3 linked regions of the Arabidopsis thaliana genome follow. The protein of the gene in region 1 interacts with the protein of each later gene in a pairwise test. Each region holds a gene or a part of one and is shown in the gene's direction. Other genes may lie near its edges.

Region 1 (8,158 bases):
TTCCAACATCTTTAACAGCGTGACTTGAAGAAAGTCAGCCTTGATGGTTTTAGAAAATGAGTCAATGCAAATGTTAAGTTTAGCTTCCTTCAGTGATGAGACATCAACAAGACTACATGGTAATTTAGAGTTTCTCAATCTGAGACAATGGGTATGTGGAGCCACAATCTGCATTGCCGTTAGCTCGGGAACCCAAATGTTACAGTTTATTTCTAATGTTCTCAGGCGCAGTGATTTGCTGAGATCAAGAACCCTTAGTCCACCGCAGTGATCTAGTGTTAAGCTCTCGAGAATTGGACAACCAAATAGAATGTTAGCCATGGATTCATCAGAGAGAAGACAAGTACTCAAGTACAACTTCTTCAGCATATGGCAATCATCGTATCAGAAAAGTCTAACACAACAGTGAGTTGCTTGAGAGATGAATTGATGTGGAAGAAATCAGGAAACTTAAACTTATTGGCAACTTGATTCCAGAGATCCAGGGACAGATGATCCACGTTACGGGACATGGCGAACTTGATCCAACTTTCTAAGTGGGGAACATTGTTGATCAAGCTGGTATGGAGGTGAAAACGCATCATCTTGGAAGCTGTATAGCGAGTTAGGGTTTCGTCTATAAATGGAGCCTCCAGTCTGTAATCATTAAATGAAAGAGAAGGTGTATCACACCATACATGTCTCCATCGTTTTGACAAGAGGGAAGTTGTGATGGCGAGTTTGGTCGGAATAAAGGAGAGGATATGTTGGAGGATCACATCAGGTAAAGAGCTTATTGAGTCTACTGCTTCTTTGATTTTCCGCCGATGGTAATGACGACCGTAGCGGTGGCTAGGGACTCTTACACCGGGGGTTGCGCTGTCGTCGGCCATCTTGATTTTCTTAGGGTTTATTATCAACGAATGGTAATGTTTTGAAGACCCATTATATATTTTTTGATATTCCAACTGAAACCAAAATCTTATCAAACCAACCACATAACAGTTTTATTTAGTTCTAAACCTAATAAACCAGAAAATCCAAGATAAGGAAGAAAAAAATCTAAACCAGAAAACTAAATTGGAGGATCCATAGATATTGAAATCATATACTAGAGTTTTTTTCTCCTCTTTAGTTACAAAACAAAACCGTCAGTCTGTAATAGCTCGGTACATACAAGCCACCAAAAATGGATTGCTTGCCAAACTTGTTAGGAATTGGACTGCCGCATTTTGCACAAGTACGCTTCCCTTGACCAATCCACTTCTAATGCACATTTTGCATTAGTTACAAAACACATTAGAAGTGGATGGGCCAAGAAAACCATACTTGAGCAAAATACCAGATCCAGTTCCTAACAAAAATGGCAAGCAAGCTACTTTTGATGTTAGTATAAATATCAAACTTGCATAAGTTTCTCAACTAAATTGTCTTATTTCGGCAGTCATTATGCTATTTTATTTCTCACACGACAAAAAAATTCGCAACTCCAACTTCAATCCACCTAAACAAAACTCCTTCGCTAGATCACTGATTTAGCCGAGATCAAGTGCTTCGTTTAAATCTTTTCATAAGCTCCACAAAATCTCCAAATGCTGCATATATGAAAAGATTAGGCAAAAATTAATGCATAGCGTTTTAGTAGCGTTTACGTTTTGATAGGTACCAGACAAAAGGGAAAAGAAAGAATGGTTTAATACCGTTGTCGGAGTCATGAGGTCCAGGAGAAGCCTCAGGGTGATACTGAAGAGACATGACATGCATTGCCGGAAAAGAGAGACCGGCGCAACTTCCGTCGTTGAGATTGACGTGAGTCACTTCCACGCCGGTGGGAAGAGAAGCTGGGTCCACTGCATAGTTATGGTTTTGCCAAAATCCGCACAAACAATATCAATCAAAATCTTCAGCAGACACAAAACAGAGACGTCTTTTTTTTAGTTTACTGTACTAGGAAGTGAGAAGCTGAACTCGACAGCCATGTAACAACAAGTTCTCAGAGTTACATATATAAGTATATAACTAAGTTTTGATTAATAATTTTTATTTTCCCATCATATTTGTAAACTATATTAGAACTGAAAGATTAGACTGTTTAATCTTGTGTGGTTATAATCTATAGATAGTAAATGGAGCATACCTGAGCACTGATCTCGACATGGCCGGTTCTGTTGTTACGAACTGGATGGTTTCCTCCATGATGACCAAATTTCATCTTAAAGGTTTTACCTCCAAGAGCTTGTCCAAGTAACTGATGACCCATACAGATTCCATAGACAGGAACTTTTCCTAGAAGCTCTTTAACCGTCTCAACTGCATAAGGCACTGCAGAAGGATCTCCTGGACCGTTGCTGAATAGAATCCCGTCTGGTTTCATTTTAAGCGCCTCTGCAGCTGGCCATGTCGATGGGACAACTGTGATTTCACAACCGTATGATGCCGAAATCATATGCAATAACCTTTTGAAGTGGAAGTATGAAAACAGAGTTAGAAGCTAGTGAGGAAATCCCGTCTTAGAATGTTTTGCTTGATCCCGAAATCATATGCAATAACCTTTTGAAGTGGAAGTATGAAAACAGAGTTAGAAGCTAGTGAGGAAATCGATGAGAATGTAAATTAGAGAAGAGAAAGTACAACTCACTCTGTAGGATTCCCTGTGACGTGAGGAGGTTGTCTTAAACTCCCATTCAGGATTTGTTTTTTCAACCCATTCGTAGGGAGATTTACAGGAAACATCGCTTATTAGATCAAGGCCTAAAATATTCAACCAAGCAGATAGACAGAGCTCAATCACATATTCCACGCTGATCATATTTTAAGGAGGGCAGTGAAAGAATTCAGACCTACTATATCCCAAGAGCGGGACATATGCAAAAGTTCCTCGTCGGTTTTGGATCCATCAGTGCTAAGCACACCGTTAAGACTGCCGCTTTCTCTTAATCGACGGGTTATTGCCCGTGTGTCAAGATCATCTGGTAGGATTAAAATGAGTAATGTTCTAAACCCAGTTATAATATCTAGAAATCTAAATTAGAATCTAAAAAAGAATCTGACCCTGTCAAAGAGGTGTTAAATACCAATTCAGCAACACGGGTTCCAGAAGCACCAAAAGACTTAGCTGACCAAACAGAGCCATCTTCTAACACTAGCCTAGCATTGTATGAGCTCCATGGTTTCTCTAAAAAACCTACAAAACCGGTAAAACAAGGAATTCACTGTTAGAAACAGAGATGATAGAACAGAGGTTAAGAACTGTTTAGCTGAATGATACTTAATTCTGTGAATGACTTTCAGATGTCTCTGATATCTCTGATAATTTCTCACAAATGAGACTACATGCTTATATAGAAAAGAAATGTATCTGCACCCATTAAACCCATGGACTCATTATGTCCTACAAACATAAAAATAAAAACCCCCAAATTTATTGTAAAACCAAAACTGACAAATGTGTCTTAACACACATTAACTCCCCTCTTTACTCTTGTTTGAATCACATTTCAACATTCACACACATTTTCAGCTCATCCAAACTAAAAGAAACAATAACCAAAACGATGATTAAGGCACGAATCAAGAGCCTACAAGTAATCTGAAAAAATCATATATATACATAACATTTGAATCGAAAGCCAATTCGAATCTAAAGTTCTGGGAAAAAATCAAGCTGTGAAAATACGGAAATGGGGAAATCGGCGAGCGTTACCAGATGCGGTGCCTGTAGAGGTGACTGAAGAAATGGAACACTTGACGACGGAGAGCCTAACTCCTCCGCGACGGTTCAATGACGGCTGGATGAAGAAGCCCGTCGGCAAAACAAATTCCAGAGCTTTCGTAGCCGCCATTGTTGCCGTCTCTAAAAGCTTCCAAGGAGTCTCAGCCGTTATGTCTGTCAGTGAAGTAGTGAACAAATAGTTGTTCTTTATATTTTCTTATTACTTTTCATAAATAACAAAATAGCCCTTTACTTATTTTCGTATATTTAAATAAACCCCAATAGATATATATTTATACTAAAACCTCCCCGCGTTAATTAATTATGAGAAAAGCTTGGTAAAAACCCTATTTTTCTTCTTCTCTTCAATTTACAGTTCTCTGCACCTTTTTCTTTCCCCTGTTTTTTGATCCTCAATCACCAAACCCTAGCTTGTTCTTCTGTTGATTATTTCGAAAAGGGGGTTTGTTTGTTTTCTGGGAATCAGCAAAAATCACGAAATGGTTGGTTTAATATTTCAATCGGGATAAAATCGATCGAAAATGAGTCAGCCTTCTGTGATTCTTGCTACGGCTAGCTATGATCACACCATCCGATTCTGGGAAGCCGAAACTGGTCGCTGTTACCGTACCATTCAGTATCCTGATTCGGTTTGTTTCTCTCTCTCTCTCCCTTGATTTTGTGAATTCTGAGTAATTAATAAAACTGAGACAAATTAATGTTTGTAATTGCAGCATGTAAATAGGCTTGAGATAACCCCAGATAAGCATTATCTAGCTGCAGCTTGCAATCCTCATATTCGACTCTTTGATGTCAATTCCAATAGTCCTCAACCTGTAAAACTCCTCTCTTTTTTTCTCAATGTGGTGTTTGCTTCCTTCTACCTGCTTGAGTGATCTTGATGGAGTCGTCGTGTGTATTAGGTGATGACTTACGATTCACACACCAACAATGTTATGGCAGTAGGATTTCAATGTGATGCAAAATGGATGTATTCAGGATCAGAAGATGGCACAGTTAAGATCTGGGACTTAAGGTATATCATGTCATCTTCATCTTTAGCTAAAAGTTTATAGATTTATTCAAGTGTGGATTCTGGGAAAGGATAAGGAGATATTGAATATAAAGTTACGAAAAATACTAAGAACGTTCTAAATTGTATTCTTGTTGACTCGTAAACCAAAATGCAGGGCTCCGGGTTGCCAAAAGGAGTATGAAAGTGTTGCAGCGGTTAATACAGTTGTTTTACACCCAAATCAGGTACATGAAGTCATCTGTTATTGTTGTGCTGTGGGAATCAGCTTCGTTTTATGTTTAAGAGAGTTGTTGTATTGCTACTGTTGAAACTGCTGTGATTTTGGTAGTTGTCTCAGCTGTTATTATGAACTATTTCCTTAGTCTTTATTATGAACTTTGTTTTTTTTTTTTGTACAGACTGAATTGATATCTGGAGACCAAAATGGAAATATACGTGTATGGGATCTCAGAGCAAATTCGTGTAGCTGTGAACTGGTAATTGCCTTTGACACGTCTTCATTTCATTTCTGAAAATCCGTAGATAATCACTTGAGGTTAACTATAGGTACCAGAAGTTGATACAGCTGTACGGTCTTTAACTGTTATGTGGGATGGGACAATGGTAGTCGCTGCTAACAACCGTGGAACATGTTATGTATGGCGCTTGTTGCGTGGAAAACAGGTAGTGTTCCTGATATGCAAACCTTTCTTTTGTTTAACCATGTTGTAGTCGCATTACTCTAATTGTCCATGCCATTTAAAAATTCAAAATCTTTTACAGACAATGACAGAGTTTGAGCCCCTTCATAAGCTGCAAGCTCATAATGGCCACATCCTTAAATGTCTCCTCTCTCCTGCAAACAAGTAACATGTTTCTTATACTTTCTCTTTTAACCGTTTTCTTCATCCTCTCCTTTTCGAAGCTCTTACATATTTGTTAGCAGATATCTAGCGACTGCATCATCTGATAAAACTGTCAAAATATGGAACGTCGATGGTTTTAAACTAGAGAAAGTTTTAACAGGTATGTTCTCCATGTTACTGTCAACAGCATTCATTCTCCATTATCGTCTCTTACACTATCATCAAATCTTATATAACAGGACATCAAAGATGGGTTTGGGACTGCGTCTTCTCAGTGGATGGAGAATTTCTTGTAACAGGTACTAATCTCTGTCTTAACTTAAACCACTGAAAAACATATCAGAACAATCTTTAAACGGGTTTCTATGATGTTGTACAGCATCATCGGACATGACGGCTAGATTGTGGTCGATGCCAGCAGGCAAAGAAGTGAAAGTGTACCAAGGTCATCACAAAGCCACTGTGTGCTGTGCACTTCACGATTAAAACCTTAATAAGAATCAAAGCTAAATTATGAACAAACTACGATTGTGTTATTTGTGTTTTAGTAAACTCTTGTACATTTCAATCGAATTCGTTCAAATTGCTCTTATGTTCCCTCTCTGATCAAACATTTCTCAACTATATCACAACAAAAATGCTCCAACAAAATTTATTTCAGAAGAGGCCCATTTATACCTGACTCGGAAACTCCGGCCCAAATGAGCCAGTCTCCTCGCAGAAACCACACTAAACCCTAATTTGATTCATTTTTAGACCTAGAGTATAAATACCAAACATTTCAATCGACCTCGTAATCTCTCGCTCTGTTACGCCATTTTCGTGAGTAAGAAGAAGAAACCCGAAAACCTCAAACCATGGCCGAGGGACTCGTATTGAAGGGCATTATGCGCGCCCACACCGACATTGTCACGGCCATCGCTACGCCGATCGACAATTCCGACATCATCGTCACAGCGTCGCGTGACAAATCCATCATCCTCTGGAAACTCACAAAGGACGATAAGTCTTACGGTGTTGCTCAGCGTAGGCTCACAGGTCACTCTCACTTCGTGGAAGATGTTGTTCTCTCATCGGACGGTCAGTTTGCACTCTCCGGAAGCTGGGACGGTGAGCTCCGTCTCTGGGATCTTGCCACGGGAGAAACAACTCGTCGATTCGTTGGTCATACGAAAGATGTGCTCTCTGTTGCATTCTCTACTGATAACCGGCAGATCGTGTCTGCTTCTCGTGATCGTACGATTAAGCTTTGGAACACACTTGGTGAGTGTAAGTATACCATCTCTGAAGGTGATGGTCACAAGGAATGGGTTAGTTGTGTTAGGTTTAGTCCTAATACTCTTGTACCAACTATTGTATCTGCTTCTTGGGATAAAACTGTGAAAGTTTGGAATCTCCAGAACTGTAAGCTGAGGAACTCTCTTGTTGGTCACTCTGGTTACCTCAACACTGTTGCTGTCTCGCCTGATGGTTCGCTATGCGCCAGTGGTGGGAAAGATGGTGTTATCTTGTTGTGGGATTTGGCTGAAGGAAAGAAGCTTTACTCGCTTGAGGCGGGTTCGATTATTCACTCGCTTTGCTTCAGTCCTAACAGATACTGGTTGTGTGCTGCTACTGAGAATAGCATTAGGATTTGGGATCTTGAGAGCAAGTCTGTTGTTGAGGACTTGAAGGTTGATCTCAAGTCTGAGGCAGAGAAGAATGAAGGTGGTGTTGGAACTGGTAACCAGAAGAAGGTACGTCATTATCTTATGATTTCACTATAGTAATTGGTTCTCTATTGATAGGTTAGTGAATGCACCAAAAGTAGTGATGAAATTATCTTTGGTTATGACAAAAAAAAAGTGAAATTTTGGTTAGAAATTGCATGTAGGAAATCTTTTCCCTTACCCATTAGCTTTGAAACTAGGAATTTTATTCTTTAAATGTTGCTCTGCTCCAAAGGTTTTGACTTTGATGTTAACATATAGGAAGAGATTGATAATGGTATCTAATGGGAATGTGTAATGAAAATGCAGGTTATCTACTGCACAAGCTTGAACTGGAGTGCAGATGGAAGCACATTGTTCAGTGGTTACACTGATGGAGTTGTCAGGGTCTGGGGTATTGGTCGTTACTAGAGACACAACAAGATGAAGAAGAAGTCACGAAATCTCCGGAAAAAAGTTTAGCTGCTTTTAATTTTTCCAGACTGCGTCAGTATTGTATTAGTCTCTCGCAAACCTCTATTTTGGCAATTTTTGTTTAATTTCCAGAAGAGAAAAAAACAATCCATTGATTATCATATCACTATATATCAAAAGGTCACGATTTTGATTACACTTACCTTCGTGATCTTCCGATTGGTCTTATTGAGGTTCAATCTTCACAATTCATCCCTATAATATATCACTCTTATCTCTTTCACCGGCCACATTACAAGCCTATTAGATTTCTAAAGCCCATGATTGGCCCAATTCAGTTAGGGTGGGTTTCTTTGTCTTCAAATTTGTAACCACCGGAAGCAGAGGAGAGTATCTTCTGAAGCATTAACCTAACTTATTTATGATCCTTGAGATGATGATGGCCAATCTTCCAAGGGATTTA
Region 2 (8,851 bases), on another chromosome or scaffold:
AAGGGACTTGTACTTTTCTTCAAGCTCGGCCATACGTTTGACCATAATTACGTACTCAGAGCTAGAGACTGGTGGTGCTGAAACTTCATCTTGGTTTGGCTTAGACATTTTTGCTTCCTCGTAGTAAACTGAGTTGGTCAATAATGCAACATCAGTAAGCTTCCTTGGAACGGCTTTAGATAGCCGGAGCATTGCAACAATTCCCATCACAAAAGCAATAACCCCTCCCACAAGAAAGCTATCATCTTTCTTTTGTGGCTCTTTCCCTACGTAACAATGTAGGAGGCGTAAACAGATTGGAATTTTAGAGCAATACATATATCTGCAGACTTGAGAATTAGTGTGAGTAGATTTTTATACCTTTTCTTAGGGTTTTTAAATGAGGTTTCGGTGGCAAAGACAGAGCCATGAACTTGTCAACCGCGTCAATGTGCTTCTCACTCACATTCTCTTCGATGGTTTTCATCTTGTTTCTCTCTAGAGGCTACAAATTTAATGCATATAAAAGAATGCGGTTGGTACTTGATTAGATATCATGGTGTAAACATAATCTTAGCTTACTTCAAAGACCATCGACATTGATGTTCCTTCTTCTACAAGCAAGTAGTCTTCCTCTGAAATTGTCGAGAATCTGGCTTCAGGGTTCCTAGCTATCTGCTTTCCATAGAACACACTTATATTTGGTAAGTGGCTCAGAAAAACTTTTAAATTAAAAAGGTGCTTTAAGCTCCAAAGTTGACCTTAAGAAGCTCAGGATCATTCCATGGGCCTTTGTCAGATCGCAAACAGCCACCTTTGTCTGCACAAGTACAAAGGCCGCCAAAGAAATATGGCAACTCGCTAAAACAAAAAACGAGATTACGATGATTTTTGTATAAAATTAGTTATAATACAAAGCAAGATATATCATTGAGTTAAGGACTAGAATCTTACCTAGCGTCTATGGCTTCGAGCAATTTGGGTTGGTATTTGTTCCCAAGAACATGAATCTTTGATGTCGTTTTTGGATCGAGGAACTTTTTAATTGGAGCCCACAAGAGCCGGAATCCAGGACCAGCATTGATGATGAACATTCTGTTCAAAGTCTATGAAGAATAATTTATTTACAACGTTGTTACTTGTTACTATACCTACGAGTAATAAGCTTTTTGAGGTTAAACTACCTCAGGGTAATTGTCATTATCGATCTTGAGAAGGCGCTGAAGCAGCTCTCTCGCGGATTTGTTGAAGTTCTTAAGCCCCTAGTAATTGAAAAATGACACATCGTTTTAAACATTTTTTCATATTTATACATTTTCGAAAGAAGAATTGAGGTAGAAAAATGTGACAAACCACTCCTTGGACATCAAAAATGGTTGTGCTTTGGTCAATGTGCTTCTTGGCTGCGGCAGAGCAAGAAGGGAACTTGATCTTAAACATCTTCTCGAACTCTTTCACATGGTATTTCTCATACCGGTCCATTGTAGTCGCTTGTAACAGCTTGTTTGCATCGATTTGACCTAATCTCTCAATGTAAACCGGCCTGCCTTCTTTGTCCACTCCATGGTAACCTTGCGGATAATGTTTGAGTACTTGATCGATCTCTTCAAACTCGAAATCCTTCATTATTAAAAAAATTATAAACCAAACAAATCACTCGTCAAAGATTGTGTATATATAAATGATCAGTCTAAGATGTTCCAAGATTCTTGGACAAAAAGTTAACCTCAATGATTGTATCGACTCCGAAATCCATCCTCCATTGAAGCATGTCACTCCACATTTGCTTTGCTTTCTCTTTGTCAAATTTTCTCGCCCTTAAGAATCTATGTAGAGATTAAACATAATAAATCATAATATTACAATCGCAATAATCATCTACAACAAGTAACATTTAGCTGTAAACTCATCATGAATTATGGATTTATATGAAAGTGTAAAACATTTATTGATTCGCTTGTAAGAGATGAACAATTTTTTTTTTTAAGATATGAAGATTTAATGAAATGTTATAATGTTAAGACAACCAAATTTTTGGTCATCTATTAAACCAGCTCCTCATCAAATAAAATATTCGTTTGGATTGGTATAATTTTTCCATTAGTTGACTTCATGATATTTTATTTCATACCACAACACATCATTTGACCTAGTAGGGATCTTAAAGAAAAATATAAAAACCTGAGCATCATGTGAAGATCATCGTGTTTGGGGGGCAAAAGGTCGTCAAGGACGAGGACTTGACGGAACGCTTCCACGGACAGATAATCGTCCCCGTTGATGTCGTCTGTATTGGCTACGGACACAATTTTGCTGCTGGTCCTCCGAGTCTTCTTCTTGAAAGAGTTCTTGAATCTATTTGATGCGCTTATCGCTTTCTGTTTAAGCGAGCTCATCTTCACTAGCTTCCTTCCATCCTCTGAATTCTCCATATCTAAACCACACATGATTGGTTTACATTAACATTTTAGGCAAGAGGAAAAATTGTATCAATGGCTAGTTAAGGTAAATGCATTGACTTATAACCTTGTTTGGTGTCAGCCATGGTTTAGACTTTTGATGAAACACCTAAAAGATGATTAAGATTGTTTAAGAAATAAGATTGAGGAAAAGAGAAGCAAAACCAGTGTTTTTTTTTCCTTACCTTATTGGAGATGAGTTCTTGAGAGGAAGGAAGGGTGAAAGATGGTAATGGTGAGGATCATCTGAAACTAATTAAGACATGTAGAAAAGTACTTGAATGTCATTTTAACAAGCTATTGATAAGGTCCAAAGGTGGTTTTGTTCTTTTTTTTGTTTTTTACAATTGGTTTGTTCTTAATATATGGAAATGGACATGTGTGTGATATAATATTGAAATATATCAAAATCGATTCGTATCTGTACCAATAAATGCTATAATTAATAGAAAAGAGTATGACGCCAATTTGGACTAAGTGCAGCCCACCACTTTACAGATGAAAACATAGTTTACATGACCAAATTATCATCTTAATCACTTTACAGATGAAAACATATTTTACATGACCAAATTATCATCATAAGAAAACATATTACACAATGGTTTTACATGACGAAATTATCATCAGTTCGGTTTGGATCGATTTCTTTTGATTCTGGATAATTAGTTTAAAAGATTGAGGATCAATGGTTTTACATGACCAAATTATCATCAGTTCGGTTTGGATCGGTTTCTTTTGATTCTGGATAATTAGTTCAAAAGATTGAAGATCTATTTAGGTATTTTAGAATTTTGGTTTATATTATGTTCGGTGCCTTTTCGGTTCGTGTCAATTTAGATTTGAACTAGACTTCCCAATTTAACTAAATTTTAATATAATAACCAAATATTTCGATTTTAAAATTAATAACCGAATTAACCAAAAACTACACCGATAATTTAATCGGTTATTTTTTGTAAAAATTTCAGTTTCTGAAATACTTGAGAAACCAAACTTACCTATCCCGAAAAAGCGGAATACCCCATAATCACATGCCTAGTCTGTAATTTCTCTCCGAAAACTTGTCATTTACTTAAATCATTCAAAAATCTACTATTATTTTGAAAAGAGGGAATAGTAACATATAAATATGAGAAAGTCCATATTAATTAGTAAGTTCAACATACATAATTAAAGAAATCTATGTTCAAAACAAAAAAGATTGAAATAACTATTGGTCTATCTAAAACCATGGTTCGCACTTCGCAGTAGTGGATAGTGTCCGGATAGTGGTCTTACCTTTAAAACCCGACCCTTACTTTCGATCTTCTATTTTAGTTTGATAGAGACACGTCCGTCTACTTTAAGCGTTTTACGAATCGGCGTTTCCCTCTTTTCTCCCCCGCTTATCTTCTCTTCCTGTCCTTTTCAACTCCGTGACTAAAAAAAAAAAAAAAGTAACCTTTACCTACTTTTCTTCTGGGTTTTCGATAATCTCTTTTGGGTATTTGCAAACCCCTCAAAGATTCTTCCTTTCTCCTTTAAATCGGTCAGTACTGATCTCTTCTCCATACCCTTTTGCTATTTGTTTCAAATTTCGATTCTTTGATTGTTTTGGATAGTTTAATTCATATGAATCTGACTCTTGTGTTTGATTTTCACAGTCTCTGCTTTGGCTTTGTACTAGCCATCGCAATTCATCATCATCTATTGCAAGTATCTCCAAGGTTTTGATTTCCACAATGGCAACAACTACTCTCAATGACAGTGTCACCACTACACTTGCTTCAGAGCCTCAAAGGACTTACCAAGTTGTTGTTGCTGCAACTAAAGAAATGGGTATTGGTAAAGATGGGAAATTGCCATGGAATTTGCCAACAGATCTCAAGTTCTTTAAAGACATTACTTTGACCACTTCAGATTCCTCTAAGAAAAATGCTGTTGTGATGGGTAGAAAGACTTGGGAGTCTATTCCCATTAAGTATAGGCCGCTTTCGGGTCGGCTTAACGTTGTTCTAACTCGTTCTGGTGGGTTTGATATAGCCAACACTGAGAATGTTGTCACTTGTAGTAGTGTAGATTCTGCTCTTGATTTGTTAGCTGCGCCGCCGTATTGTTTATCTATTGAGAGGGTTTTTGTTATAGGAGGTGGTGACATATTGAGGTAATGGTTGTTGATTTTCATTTATTATCCCTTTTGGTGATTCGGAATCTTGTTGTTGGTTGGAACTAAGTGTTGGTTGGTTGTATTTGTGTAGGGAAGCATTGAATAGGCCTAGTTGTGATGCTATCCATTTAACTGAGATTGATACAAGTGTTGACTGTGATACGTTTATACCTGCGATTGATACTTCTGTTTATCAGCCTTGGTCTTCATCGTTTCCAGTAACTGAAAATGGACTTCGGTTTTGCTTCACGACTTTTGTCCGTGTAAAGAGTTCTGCTGATGAATCTTCTGATGAAAGCAATGGGTCACAGTCTCTTCAATTTGATGGGAAGAAGTTTTTGTTTCTTCCTAAGATGGTTTTTGATCAGCATGAGGAGTTTCTGTATTTGAATATGGTTGAAGATATTATCTCTAATGGCAATGTGAAGAATGATAGGACCGGGACTGGTACATTATCAAAATTTGGTTGCCAGGTGATATAAATCCGTTTCTTTATGTATTCTGTTTATCTCTAGTTGGTTAAATGATCTCACATTTCCTTGGAACACAGATGAAATTCAATTTACGCAGAAGTTTTCCACTTCTGACAACAAAGGTATGCTCACTTTTTCCTTAACTTTCCACGTTTACTCGCAAAAGGAGAATGCTTTGTCTTCTGTTGTATTTAGTGGCAGTTGCATATCTACACTAGCTCATATTCAAACTCACGCAATCTGTTTGCTTTTTTTTGGTAGCGAGTTTTCTGGAGAGGTGTTGTTGAGGAACTTCTATGGTTCATAAGCGGTTCAACCAATGCAAAAGTAAATTAAGCCAGAGTGTCTCTGCTATGCTCTAAAACTATGCAAATGAATTGGTTATATCTATGATAGACTTTATACATGGGCAGGTCCTTCAGGAAAAAGGTATCCATATATGGGATGGGAATGCGTCAAGAGAGTATCTCGATGGGTAATATTTGTAACCTGCATTATCTTTTTGGTTAAAGAAATATTGATCTTGACGACCTATTTGCTGATTTATCCACCGTATTTTCAGTATCGGCCTGACAGAGAGAGAGGAAGGCGACCTTGGACCTGTATACGGATTTCAATGGCGACACTTTGGTGCTAAGTCAGTAACTTTTCAATGCATATGTTGGTTTTTTCTTCTCTGTTCCGATGGATTTGTTTTGGTGAAACATCTTTCTCTTGTTTTACAGGTACACAGATATGCATGCTGATTATACTGGTCAAGGATTTGATCAACTTGTAGATGTAATTGACAAAATCAAGAACAATCCTGATGATCGGCGTATTATAATGTCAGCTTGGAATCCTTCTGATCTTAAGCTGATGGCACTTCCTCCATGCCATATGTTTGCACAAGTAATGCCACTTTATCTTCTAATTCTGTTGTTTCTCCTACAATGAGTTTGATTACTTTTTTTTTTTTTTTGCAGTTTTATGTGGCAGAAGGGGAACTCTCATGTCAAATGTATCAGCGTTCAGCAGATATGGGCCTTGGTGTGCCGTTTAACATTGCTTCTTACTCTCTTCTTACTTGCATGCTGGCTCATGTGTGTGATCTTGTTCCTGGTGATTTTATCCATGTTCTTGGGGATGCTCATGTATACAAAACTCACGTGAGGCCTCTGCAAGAGCAACTTCTGAATCTTCCAAAACCCTTTCCTGTAAGTATATCGCCGACAATGATCATCGAGGAATGCATATTCACCTATCCTTACCGTGTTTTTGTTTGTCGTCATGGGCTCACTACTGCAGGTAATGAAGATAAACCCGGAGAAGAAACAAATCGATTCTTTTGTGGCTTCTGACTTTGACCTCACAGGCTATGATCCTCACAAGAAGATAGAAATGAAAATGGCGGTTTAGTTCTCATCTCTTACTATAGGATATGACCAAAAGGAGACTACCGACAAATTGATTGTGTAAAATTTATGATTGAATCAGATGAATGACCATCAATGTATGGACTCATATTACCCTTTTGTGGGTGATAACTTGTCATAAACATGTGTTGGAATCCTCTAGTTCCACATGGTTCTAGAGCGATTTAGGATTTTATACTTCTTTTATATATTGTTTCCTATTTCAACTATCGAATGAGAACTTTGATGATTTTGGCCAATTTATGTTCTTTTTGGTTTTAAGTTTGTCTACAAGATACATAAATAATCTTTCTAATATACTATAACTGTTGTGGTGTTATAATTGGTATACAACTATAACTGTAATTTCATATGCTTGTGTTTAAAGTAATTGATTGATGACACAAACAAAAGGTGTGGATAATGCAGAGTAACTACACTATACACTTGTGGCCTTATGTCGGCAATTGACGAATACTACACAATATTAGACCTGCGAGCTCGGTTAACCAACTGGTTAACCGGACCAAGCCAGTTACTTCTCGGTTTTTTCGTAGAAACTAGGGCTGAACATATGGGTAACCCGTTCGGGGTTGGGTTAAATGGGTAATAGATTTACTATCCAATAAGGGAAAATGAAATTTTCGGTTCCAATCCGGTTCGGGTACATTCGGATTCGGGTTGATTTGGGTAATCAATTTGAGAACCGGTAAATACCCGAAAAAATTGGTTAACAATTATCCATTACAGCGAAAAATACCCGAGTTTCAAATGATTTGTGACAAATCACAAGAAAAAACAGAGTGAAAAAATGAACATTAACATCCAAATTCCAAACCTAAATAGCAAACTGCAAACAACAATACAAATATGACAAATAGAAGTTCTCAAACAAGAGTAATTGAAGAGTAAACCGCAAGCAACAATCCGAAAATGAAAAACATAAAACTCGAAGTTTAAAACATACCAAACCGGATATCCATAAACCCATAAACCCGAATCGATTTGGTATGTTTTTGGTTTTAGAAAAAAGGTCAACCGCTCGGTTAGGGGAACTGAACTAACTGAACATGATTCAAAATTCTGCCAAATTGAACAGATTGCTAAACCAATTTCGAACCGAAAACTGAAAACTCTCTTTGTTCCGGACAAAAACCGAAGGCCTTTTATATGTGTCTGAAAGAAAAGTTTCTTTTGATAATAAATGAGGGTTATTAGAATATGTCTCACATCGAGACTTTGATAAATTGTGGAGCAATATATAAGTAGTAAACCTCCACTCATTGAGCTAGCTTTTGGGTGTGAGTTAGGCCCATACTAATATGGTATCAGAGCCCAAGGTTTCAATTTGTCTCGATTGTGGACCACCCGTGCATGTCCAATCCCACAAATTTTACGCTTTAGATGTCCAATTCTGAGCGTGAGAGGGGTGTATTAGAATATGTCTCACATCGAGACTTTGATAAATTGTGGAGCAATATATAAGTATGTGATAAACCTCCACTCATTGAGATAGCTTTTGGGTGTGAGTTAGGTTCATACTAATAAGGATGTTGCCATACTTTAATTGGTATGAAACTAAAAATGTAATTCTCTATGCTTGTGTTAGTAGCTGATGACACAAAAGTTTATACGGATGAAGTATTCTCCAACTTTGTGATGTCACAAAAACAAGAGCTACTCGCTAAAATCAGGTAATGATTCTATGAAGTGAATAAATTTCATTATAATTTTACTACAGACACAACGTGCAGATTTTCAAGTACCTAACTAAAGTAACCAACTTTTTTGTGATGTAAGAATTAAGAGCAATAAGCGATACTCTACGGAAGCTACACCATACACTTGTAGCCTCTGTGATTTTCTCTTATCTTCTATTTTGTTTCTTTCTATATGTGTCCACATTTTTCTTTCACAAGTTAACCTTATAAATTCCCTCCGAGAGTTGATTGGTATCAACAAGATCAAGCAAGAAATAAACTAAGATATGGCCAAGGAAATGGTGACGCTTGAACAAATTGTAAAATGTCTAACAAATTTTTTTTTGTTCTTTTCTTCCGTGGGTTTAAGGTTCTTATATGTGCCAACGCGAGAACAAGGGTGTACCATGTGATAATTGCAAAGCGTACTGTAGGAAGGCATACGTCGGGCCTAACGATTATGGTCGTTGCGTGGGACTATATGGATTCCGTACGTGCACCTGTTATTATGAATGTAGCAATTGGCCATCTTCATTTTTATCATAAAAAAAGTTATCTATGTTTCATCACTTCATGTTTGTATGTGTTTTTGTGTACGTGTGTATGCATCAGAATACAAAAAAAGTTGTATGCATCAGAATAAAAGGAGCTTTTTTCGTATGACCTGATCAATGCTCTTACAAAAAATTTGTCATTG
Region 3 (7,002 bases), on another chromosome or scaffold:
CCTGGGTTCGAGTATAATTGACCATCAGGGTTCGAATTCTAACATAGTTTTTTCGGGTGCCAATATTACTCTTTGGACTTAAAAAGAAAAAAAGAATTAGACCATGACTATTGACTACCCAAATATATATGGATACTTAAGTTGTTACCCTAGCCAAAAATATTATAAGTATGCGCAAATCTAGGATGAAAACGATGTTCATGAGACTTCTCATGCTGAGGATAAACTAGGCACGCTGCATGCATGTTTTCGGCATTAGTTCTCGTGTAAAAAATATTATTAGGATGATTTATGTAGTTTTGGTTGAATCCTCTTGGTGAAAATTCTTTTGACCTAACGAAGTATTTTATTCGTCATACCTATGCAATATTCGCAGTAGATAACAACCATTTGATATTCTTCATAAGTTAATCCACCTTATCCTTCAACGTTTTCATTTTTGTGTGAATCATTATCCTAACTATGTGTCATCTATCGTAATATTGAGTGATTGTTGATATATGATGCTAAATTCTCGGCCAGACGCTCAACGTTATCATCTTGTTCACCAAATCGCTACTGGTATTATCTAAATTCTTATCATGAATTTTTCTTCAGGAGTGAAACCTCTTTGAACCTATTGTTTGGACATGCTAAAATGCAGTCTTTGAGTTATTCTTAGGGTTCACATAATGAGTTAACACTTTCTTGGTAGAATTTATAGATCATGTATGTTCCACATAAGGGTTGTCTTTGATAAGGTGAGAGATCTGGCGAAGAATATTTCGCCCATAAGAGTTGGCGGTGATGCGGTATAAACTCAACCTGAACCGAGTATATAAAAAGTGGTTTAAAGATGGCACACGTGCATTTCTTAAGTTATGGTATGTGTAGATAAATGATTTGAATTGTGACTTAAATCTTTGTGGCTCAGCTTTTTGTCCTTTCTACGATTTGATTTTGGACCATACCTTTTCAATACGTTCCAAATTTTGTCAGGAATTCATCACACGAGTGTAAATTGTACCTACATTGTAACATCTCACATGCAAAGTTTTTTTTAATGCAAGTTAAATGCACACGCTTATACATCTGTTTTTCTACATATATGTAGTTGTATACCTTTAAATGAATAATCATTTCGAATAATAATTTCAAATTACTTGAATTTTTATTATTTACCGAAAGATGGTGAATAGTTAAACATGTATATCATATACTTTGATTAAAACTGAAAAGTGTGATTAGTGCAAAATAATGTTTTAAAAGTTTCCGTTTTCGCTAAAAGAAAAACCTTAATATTTTATTAGTTCTCCTTAAAGGTAAAAATCCACAGAATTTATTCGAAATTTTTCTAACCATTTTTGATGAAAATAGTCTTCTAAAATTTACCTTAAACTTAAAGCATAACCTTTAAATTTAACTATTTTGTTTAATTTATATATTTTAAGAACCTTTTTGCAACCATTCTTTTAGTTTAGACCCCAAAAAAGGAGAAAACAAAGGAAAAAATTCAATTAGTCAATTCTTATCTATAAACAGTACAGAAGACAAGAACAAAGAGAAAGATAAGAGAGAACACGTAAGAGGAATGAGAACCAAGTGAGTGCATTTCACATCAAAGTTGAGAGTGAGCATTGGCATGTTCATTGTTTGCTCAACGACCCTAAAAGTGTCTACTGGTGGATTGTGTCCCCATTCCTATGAATTTTGCACGCTCTAAAGTATTAACATAACATGTGATTGCCAAAAAAGAAAAAAAAAACAGGCAAAATTTTCTGTTTTTTTTTTTAAAATTGCAGTGAAGAGTTTGATAGGTTTTAGTAATTAACATGCCACACGAAACTCTCAAAGCTTAGGTATGGATTCTTGTATCGTTGACAATCGATATGCATATGAGAACAAACTACACACCATATTTGATAAATATGTAAGAAAATGAATATTCATCAACATGCGTTGAACATGGTTTAGCGTGAAAATAACAGTTAACATGGACACATGGTGACATAAGTATAAATGATATTATCATGATTCACCTACCTGCAGGAGATCCATCTATTGGGATCAGAAAATCCGTTATACTATTATATAGCATGTAAACTCTACAATTATGTTATCATCTCCCACACAATGAGAGGGATTTCCAAAACAGATTTAACAAATGTTACTTCTTATAAGCATACGTCTTGTTTTATATTGAACACGCAAGCCTCTAGCGACTAGCATCTCTGTATTTCATGATCAAGTTTATACATATACTTTTTTATTTGTTATACTCTTTATGTTTTTTTTAATAAAAAAAATTGTTTTGGATGAATATGAAAAGAATAAGAAACTAGAAATAACTTTTTGATTAATAATAGTTCAATAATATGAGTACTAATTATTAATTTAAAACACAAATGTTGTATGGAAAAACAAAAACAACAACTAAAATGACAAAAAATTGTTCAACCATCTTATAAACTTTAAACGTAGGGAGCATTACTTTATACTTGTTGTAAAAACGATAATGCTTATTGGTAAAATAACCCATATACATTTTGATTTGTCAATATGTTCATATATGATCTAGTTTTTGTTCTCGTTGTCGCTAGATAGACAATAAAATTTCTTAGTGGACAGTGATTGTGGAATGAATATACGCCCAACACAAATATAAACATCAAATTAAGGTGCATGCGGTATGGGAATTGCAAGTTAAATGAACATAGTTATGCGTAATTTCGAGAAGGGATTAATTGTATTACCTTGCTCGAAATACCACATGGGCCGTGTCCCCAAAAGCCCATTTAAAATGGTTTTTTTTTTTTTTTAAATCATCTCTTTAGATATTTTTTTCAACTCTTTTTCAACAAAATATATAGTTTCATATAGATATTTGTATTTATAATAAATGTTAAAATGAAATTTTACACAATAATTAAAATAAAATAAATAGAAAAAATGTTATTTGAGACAGCATATCACATGGCCTTACCATACTTCCTGCATCCATTATTCCATTAAGAACACTCTTCACCCTCATCCACATGCATCTCCCTCCCCAATTTATTTACTATTGATCATAATTGTACAAACCTATACTTACAATTTATATATGTGTCTACGAGAAAATAAATAATATTTTACAGTGTTTTGTCTATTATTTTGTTCTATAGTTTCTTGCAAACAAAACATTACTTTTCACGCAAAAACTGTCGAAATATTTATAAAAGGAAATTGTTAATTCTTCGATACAAATTGACCATTAATATTTGATCATCTATTCTAGACATCTACTCTACCATATACCAAACCTTTACACAAAAATGAAATATTTTCATGAAAACTACCCCACAACTGGGGTGATCGAAAAAGCTTGATCTATATGATCAACATGTCCAACACTAGTTTCATTTTTTCTACTATGATATCCGATGATCCAATCTGAACTATACAAAATGTATCTAGATATTTTCTTGAATCAATCCGAATAACGAATAGTTGCAAAACATAAACCTAGCGTGATCGTGTGGTAGAAGGACGAAGGTCGAGAAGTTCTCTTACTCTTATGATTTTCTCTTTACTCATTTGACCGTAAGAGAAAGAAACGGCTAGGATCTCGCGTACGCAACTGGCGGAGACAAATCAGGACCGTTGAAAATAAGAAAGAAGCCGCGTCCAAAATCTTTGTGTCCCACCTTTGTCCCCTTGCCTCTAACTTGCCTCCTCATGCTCCCCGACAACGTCATAATTCATATCTCTCTCTCTCTCTCGTTAACCCTAATTTCAAAGCATCTTTCCTTATATAAATCTCTCTCTCTCCCTCACCATTACACAACACACACAAGCATTTTCAAGGATATCAAATCACAATCCCAAGAAGAGCAATAACAAGAGAAGAAGAAGTAGTTCAAGAATTAAGGAAGAGAGCTTCTCCGTTAAAGTATAGTGAGAGAATATGGAAGTCACCAATGGGCTTAACCTTAAGGACACAGAGCTTCGTTTGGGATTACCCGGAGCACAAGAAGAACAACAACTAGAACTTTCTTGCGTCAGAAGCAACAACAAGCGCAAGAACAACGACTCAACAGAAGAATCTGCTCCTCCTCCTGCAAAGTAAGTTGAGATCTGAAAGTTATAGTTTTAATATCCAAACTTCTTGATATCAATCGGTGTACTAATAATGAATCTTGATTTGTAAACTTCAGAACACAAATCGTTGGATGGCCTCCAGTGAGATCTAACCGTAAGAACAACAACAACAAAAACGTGAGTTATGTGAAAGTGAGTATGGACGGAGCTCCATATCTCCGTAAGATAGATCTCAAGATGTACAAAAACTATCCAGAGCTTCTCAAAGCACTAGAGAACATGTTCAAGTTCACAGTAGGTGAATATTCCGAGAGAGAAGGCTACAAAGGATCTGGATTTGTACCTACTTATGAAGACAAAGATGGAGATTGGATGTTGGTCGGTGATGTTCCATGGGACATGTTCTCTTCATCTTGTCAAAAACTCAGAATCATGAAAGGATCCGAAGCTCCTACTGCCTTATGATCCATTGTCTCAAAACACCTTTTGGTCGAGGCAAAAACAAATTCTACTTTGTTTAGATAAAAAAAAGTTTGGTGTAAAGAAAGAAAAAGCAATAGGGTTACAAATACGTTATATAGATGTAAACTAGCTTTGGTTAATTCTGTAAAAGATGAGTTTTGATTATACGAAGTTTATATGTATGCTCAAGATATTTGATACTAACATAACCAATAAAGTTTAGTATTTGATACTAACATAAGTTTGGGACATAGTGAAAGATATAAAATTTTGGATTAAGAAATGGGCAATGTAATGGATATCACTATCGAAAGTTTTCAACTTTTTTTTGTTTTGTTTAATATTAGATGGCGAGAATCTTTAGTCACTACCCAATAACTTGCTCCACCAATTTGGGATTTGACTTGAGCTCTTCTCATCGTCATCTTCGTCGCCTTCTTTTCCGATCTACTTTCATCACTCCTTCACTCACTCAGTCTCCGTAAGCTCTTCTTCTTCTTCTCTCAGTCTCTGTTTTTCAATCCGAAAATTCATTACTTTGATGGTGTTACCACGAATTGAGAATCATTGATGGTATTGCTTTGATGGGTATCGTTTATATGACAGTTTTTAATCCGAAAGTTTATTACTTTGATTGGTTTTTTGTTTGTTCTGTTTTAACGAATTTGAAGCCAATCATATCTACTAAGAACTTGATTGGTTTAGAGTTATGGATGATGAATCTGATTAATGGAATTGTTTTGCAATCATTAGTGATTTATGAGATACTTGTTTCAGTTACAAGAATTGGATTCGAAGATTTGTAGCTATGGATTCTTCTGGAACTGATTCGGCTAAAGAATTGCATGTTGGTTTGGACCCAACTACAGAGGAAGAGTATGCCACACAGTCAAAGTTACTTCAAGAGTTCATTAATATTCCCAGCATTGATAAAGCTTGGATTTTTAATTCTGATTCTGGTAATCACTTTTGCATATTCAAGTTGGGACTTTGTAAATTAAGATTTTTGAGTCTTTTGTTGTTGAAAATCATCTTCCCAAATGAAATGATGTTTTCACTTTGATGCTCTTACTACAGGTTCTCAGGCAATGTTTGCCTTGAGTCAAGCAAACCTTTTGGCTAATAAAAAGAAGAAGTTTATGTTGTCGGGTCATATTTCGAACGAAAGTAACCAATCTGTAAACTTTCACTGGGCGCCATTTCCCATCGAGATGACTGGTGCATCGGCTTTTGTCCCATCTCCATCGGGATTGAAGCTCCTTGTAATTCGAAATCCTGAAAATGAATCTCCTACAAAGTTTGAGATATGGAATTCTTCTCAGCTAGAGAAGGAGTTCCATATTCCACAGAAAGTTCATGGCTCTGTATACGTTGATGGATGGTATGGCACTTTGTTTTTGGCTGATTTTTAAAGACAAGTTCTTGTAGAAGTATAAAAATGAGTAAGGCTTATGTATGATAGGTTTGAAGGGATCTCTTGGGATTCAGATGAGACTCATGTTGCGTATGTCGCCGAGGAGCCATCTCGTCCCAAGCCTACATTTGATCATCTTGGTTATTACAAGAAAGAAAATTCTTTGGACAAGGGTATTGGAAGCTGGAAAGGTGAAGGGGATTGGGAAGAGGAATGGGGAGAAGCATACGCCGGAAAAAGGCAGCCTGCACTGTTTGTTATCAATGTTGACAGGTTTCCATCAATCTCTCCATAAGAAAAGAACAACTACCCAGTACTTTTTATGATGGTTGTTTCTCTTTTTCTGTTAACAGTGGAGAGGTCGAGCCAATCAAAGGAATTCCTAGATCAATAAGTGTTGGACAGGTTGTTTGGAGTCCAAACAGTAATGGATCAGCTCAATATTTGGTTTTTGCCGGTTGGTTAGGAGATAAAAGAAAGTTTGGTATTAAGTACTGCTACAACAGACCATGTGCCATATACGCAATTAAGTTCACATCGGATGAACCAAAGTAAGTTGGCAACTTCTATAACTACTAAAAGACAGCTTAATAATTCCTAATTTCCGAAAAAATATCTTATAAAGTTTGTGTTTACTTGTGTTTCAGAGATGATGACGCAAATGAATTCCCTATTCATAATTTGACTAAGAGCATAAGCAGCGGGTTTTGTCCTCGGTTCAGGTTTACTTCTTATGAATTTTTTCCTTAACTTAGAAAAGTTATGTAGAGTATTTGTTGTCCTTGTTACTCTGTTTCTAACTGAGCGTTCTTGCACAACTTTGTTAAACATTTCCCTTATATATAGTGGTGTTGATTTGCAATGTTCATTTTAATTATGACCTGTTTAAAACTTACTGTAGTCACCATACATTGTTTCCTTCCCTCACAGCAAAGATGGCAAATTTCTTGTGTTTGTATCCGCAAAGACCGCTGTTGATTCTGGGGCGCATTGGGCAACCGAGTCACTTCATAGGATTGACTGGCCAAGTGATGGGAAACTTCCTGAGTCAACAAATATCGTTGATG

The links.
Region 2: the proteins of LST8-1 (region 1) and THY-1 interact in binary tests that used the Arabidopsis thaliana proteins (3 or more experiments, as listed by UniProt).
Region 3: the proteins of LST8-1 (region 1) and IAA1 interact in binary tests that used the Arabidopsis thaliana proteins (3 or more experiments, as listed by UniProt).

Annotation. Positions count from the first base shown.
Region 1 is NC_003074.8:6,210,643-6,218,800, reverse strand, and holds LST8-1 (Transducin/WD40 repeat-like superfamily protein), read left to right. Parts: upstream 1-3,996; 5' UTR 3,997-4,233; coding exon 4,234-4,341; intron 4,342-4,425; coding exon 4,426-4,527; intron 4,528-4,614; coding exon 4,615-4,727; intron 4,728-4,881; coding exon 4,882-4,951; intron 4,952-5,125; coding exon 5,126-5,203; intron 5,204-5,273; coding exon 5,274-5,390; intron 5,391-5,489; coding exon 5,490-5,572; coding exon of another isoform or gene 5,573-5,576; exon of another isoform or gene 5,577-5,652; coding exon 5,653-5,732; intron 5,733-5,811; coding exon 5,812-5,871; intron 5,872-5,951; coding exon 5,952-6,058; 3' UTR 6,059-6,216; downstream 6,217-8,158. Other genes in the region: RACK1C_AT (receptor for activated C kinase 1C), read left to right, coding at 6,430-7,308, 7,591-7,692. UniProt on the Arabidopsis thaliana protein: Component of TORC1 complex, which is an essential cell growth regulator that controls plant development. Acts by activating transcription, protein synthesis and ribosome biogenesis, and inhibiting mRNA degradation and autophagy.
Region 2 is NC_003071.7:7,079,645-7,088,495, reverse strand, and holds THY-1 (thymidylate synthase 1), read left to right. Parts: upstream 1-3,630; 5' UTR 3,631-3,969; intron 3,970-4,000; exon of another isoform or gene 4,001-4,084; 5' UTR 4,085-4,162; coding exon 4,163-4,584; intron 4,585-4,678; coding exon 4,679-5,060; intron 5,061-5,137; coding exon 5,138-5,182; intron 5,183-5,321; coding exon 5,322-5,387; intron 5,388-5,473; coding exon 5,474-5,535; intron 5,536-5,622; coding exon 5,623-5,697; intron 5,698-5,785; coding exon 5,786-5,951; coding exon of another isoform or gene 5,952-5,996; exon of another isoform or gene 5,997-6,025; coding exon 6,026-6,256; intron 6,257-6,347; coding exon 6,348-6,458; 3' UTR 6,459-6,733; downstream 6,734-8,851. Other genes in the region: AT2G16380 (Sec14p-like phosphatidylinositol transfer family protein), read right to left, coding at 1-266, 361-484, 562-654, 741-840, 934-1,085, 1,164-1,241, 1,333-1,599, 1,706-1,805 and 2 more. UniProt on the Arabidopsis thaliana protein: Bifunctional enzyme. Involved in de novo dTMP biosynthesis. Key enzyme in folate metabolism.
Region 3 is NC_003075.7:8,357,257-8,364,258, forward strand, and holds IAA1 (indole-3-acetic acid inducible), read left to right. Parts: upstream 1-3,739; 5' UTR 3,740-3,925; coding exon 3,926-4,083; intron 4,084-4,175; coding exon 4,176-4,524; 3' UTR 4,525-4,777; downstream 4,778-7,002. Other genes in the region: AARE (acylaminoacyl-peptidase-like protein), read left to right, coding at 4,869-5,002, 5,299-5,480, 5,599-5,902, 5,984-6,208, 6,289-6,486, 6,583-6,657, 6,866-7,002. UniProt on the Arabidopsis thaliana protein: Aux/IAA proteins are short-lived transcriptional factors that function as repressors of early auxin response genes at low auxin concentrations.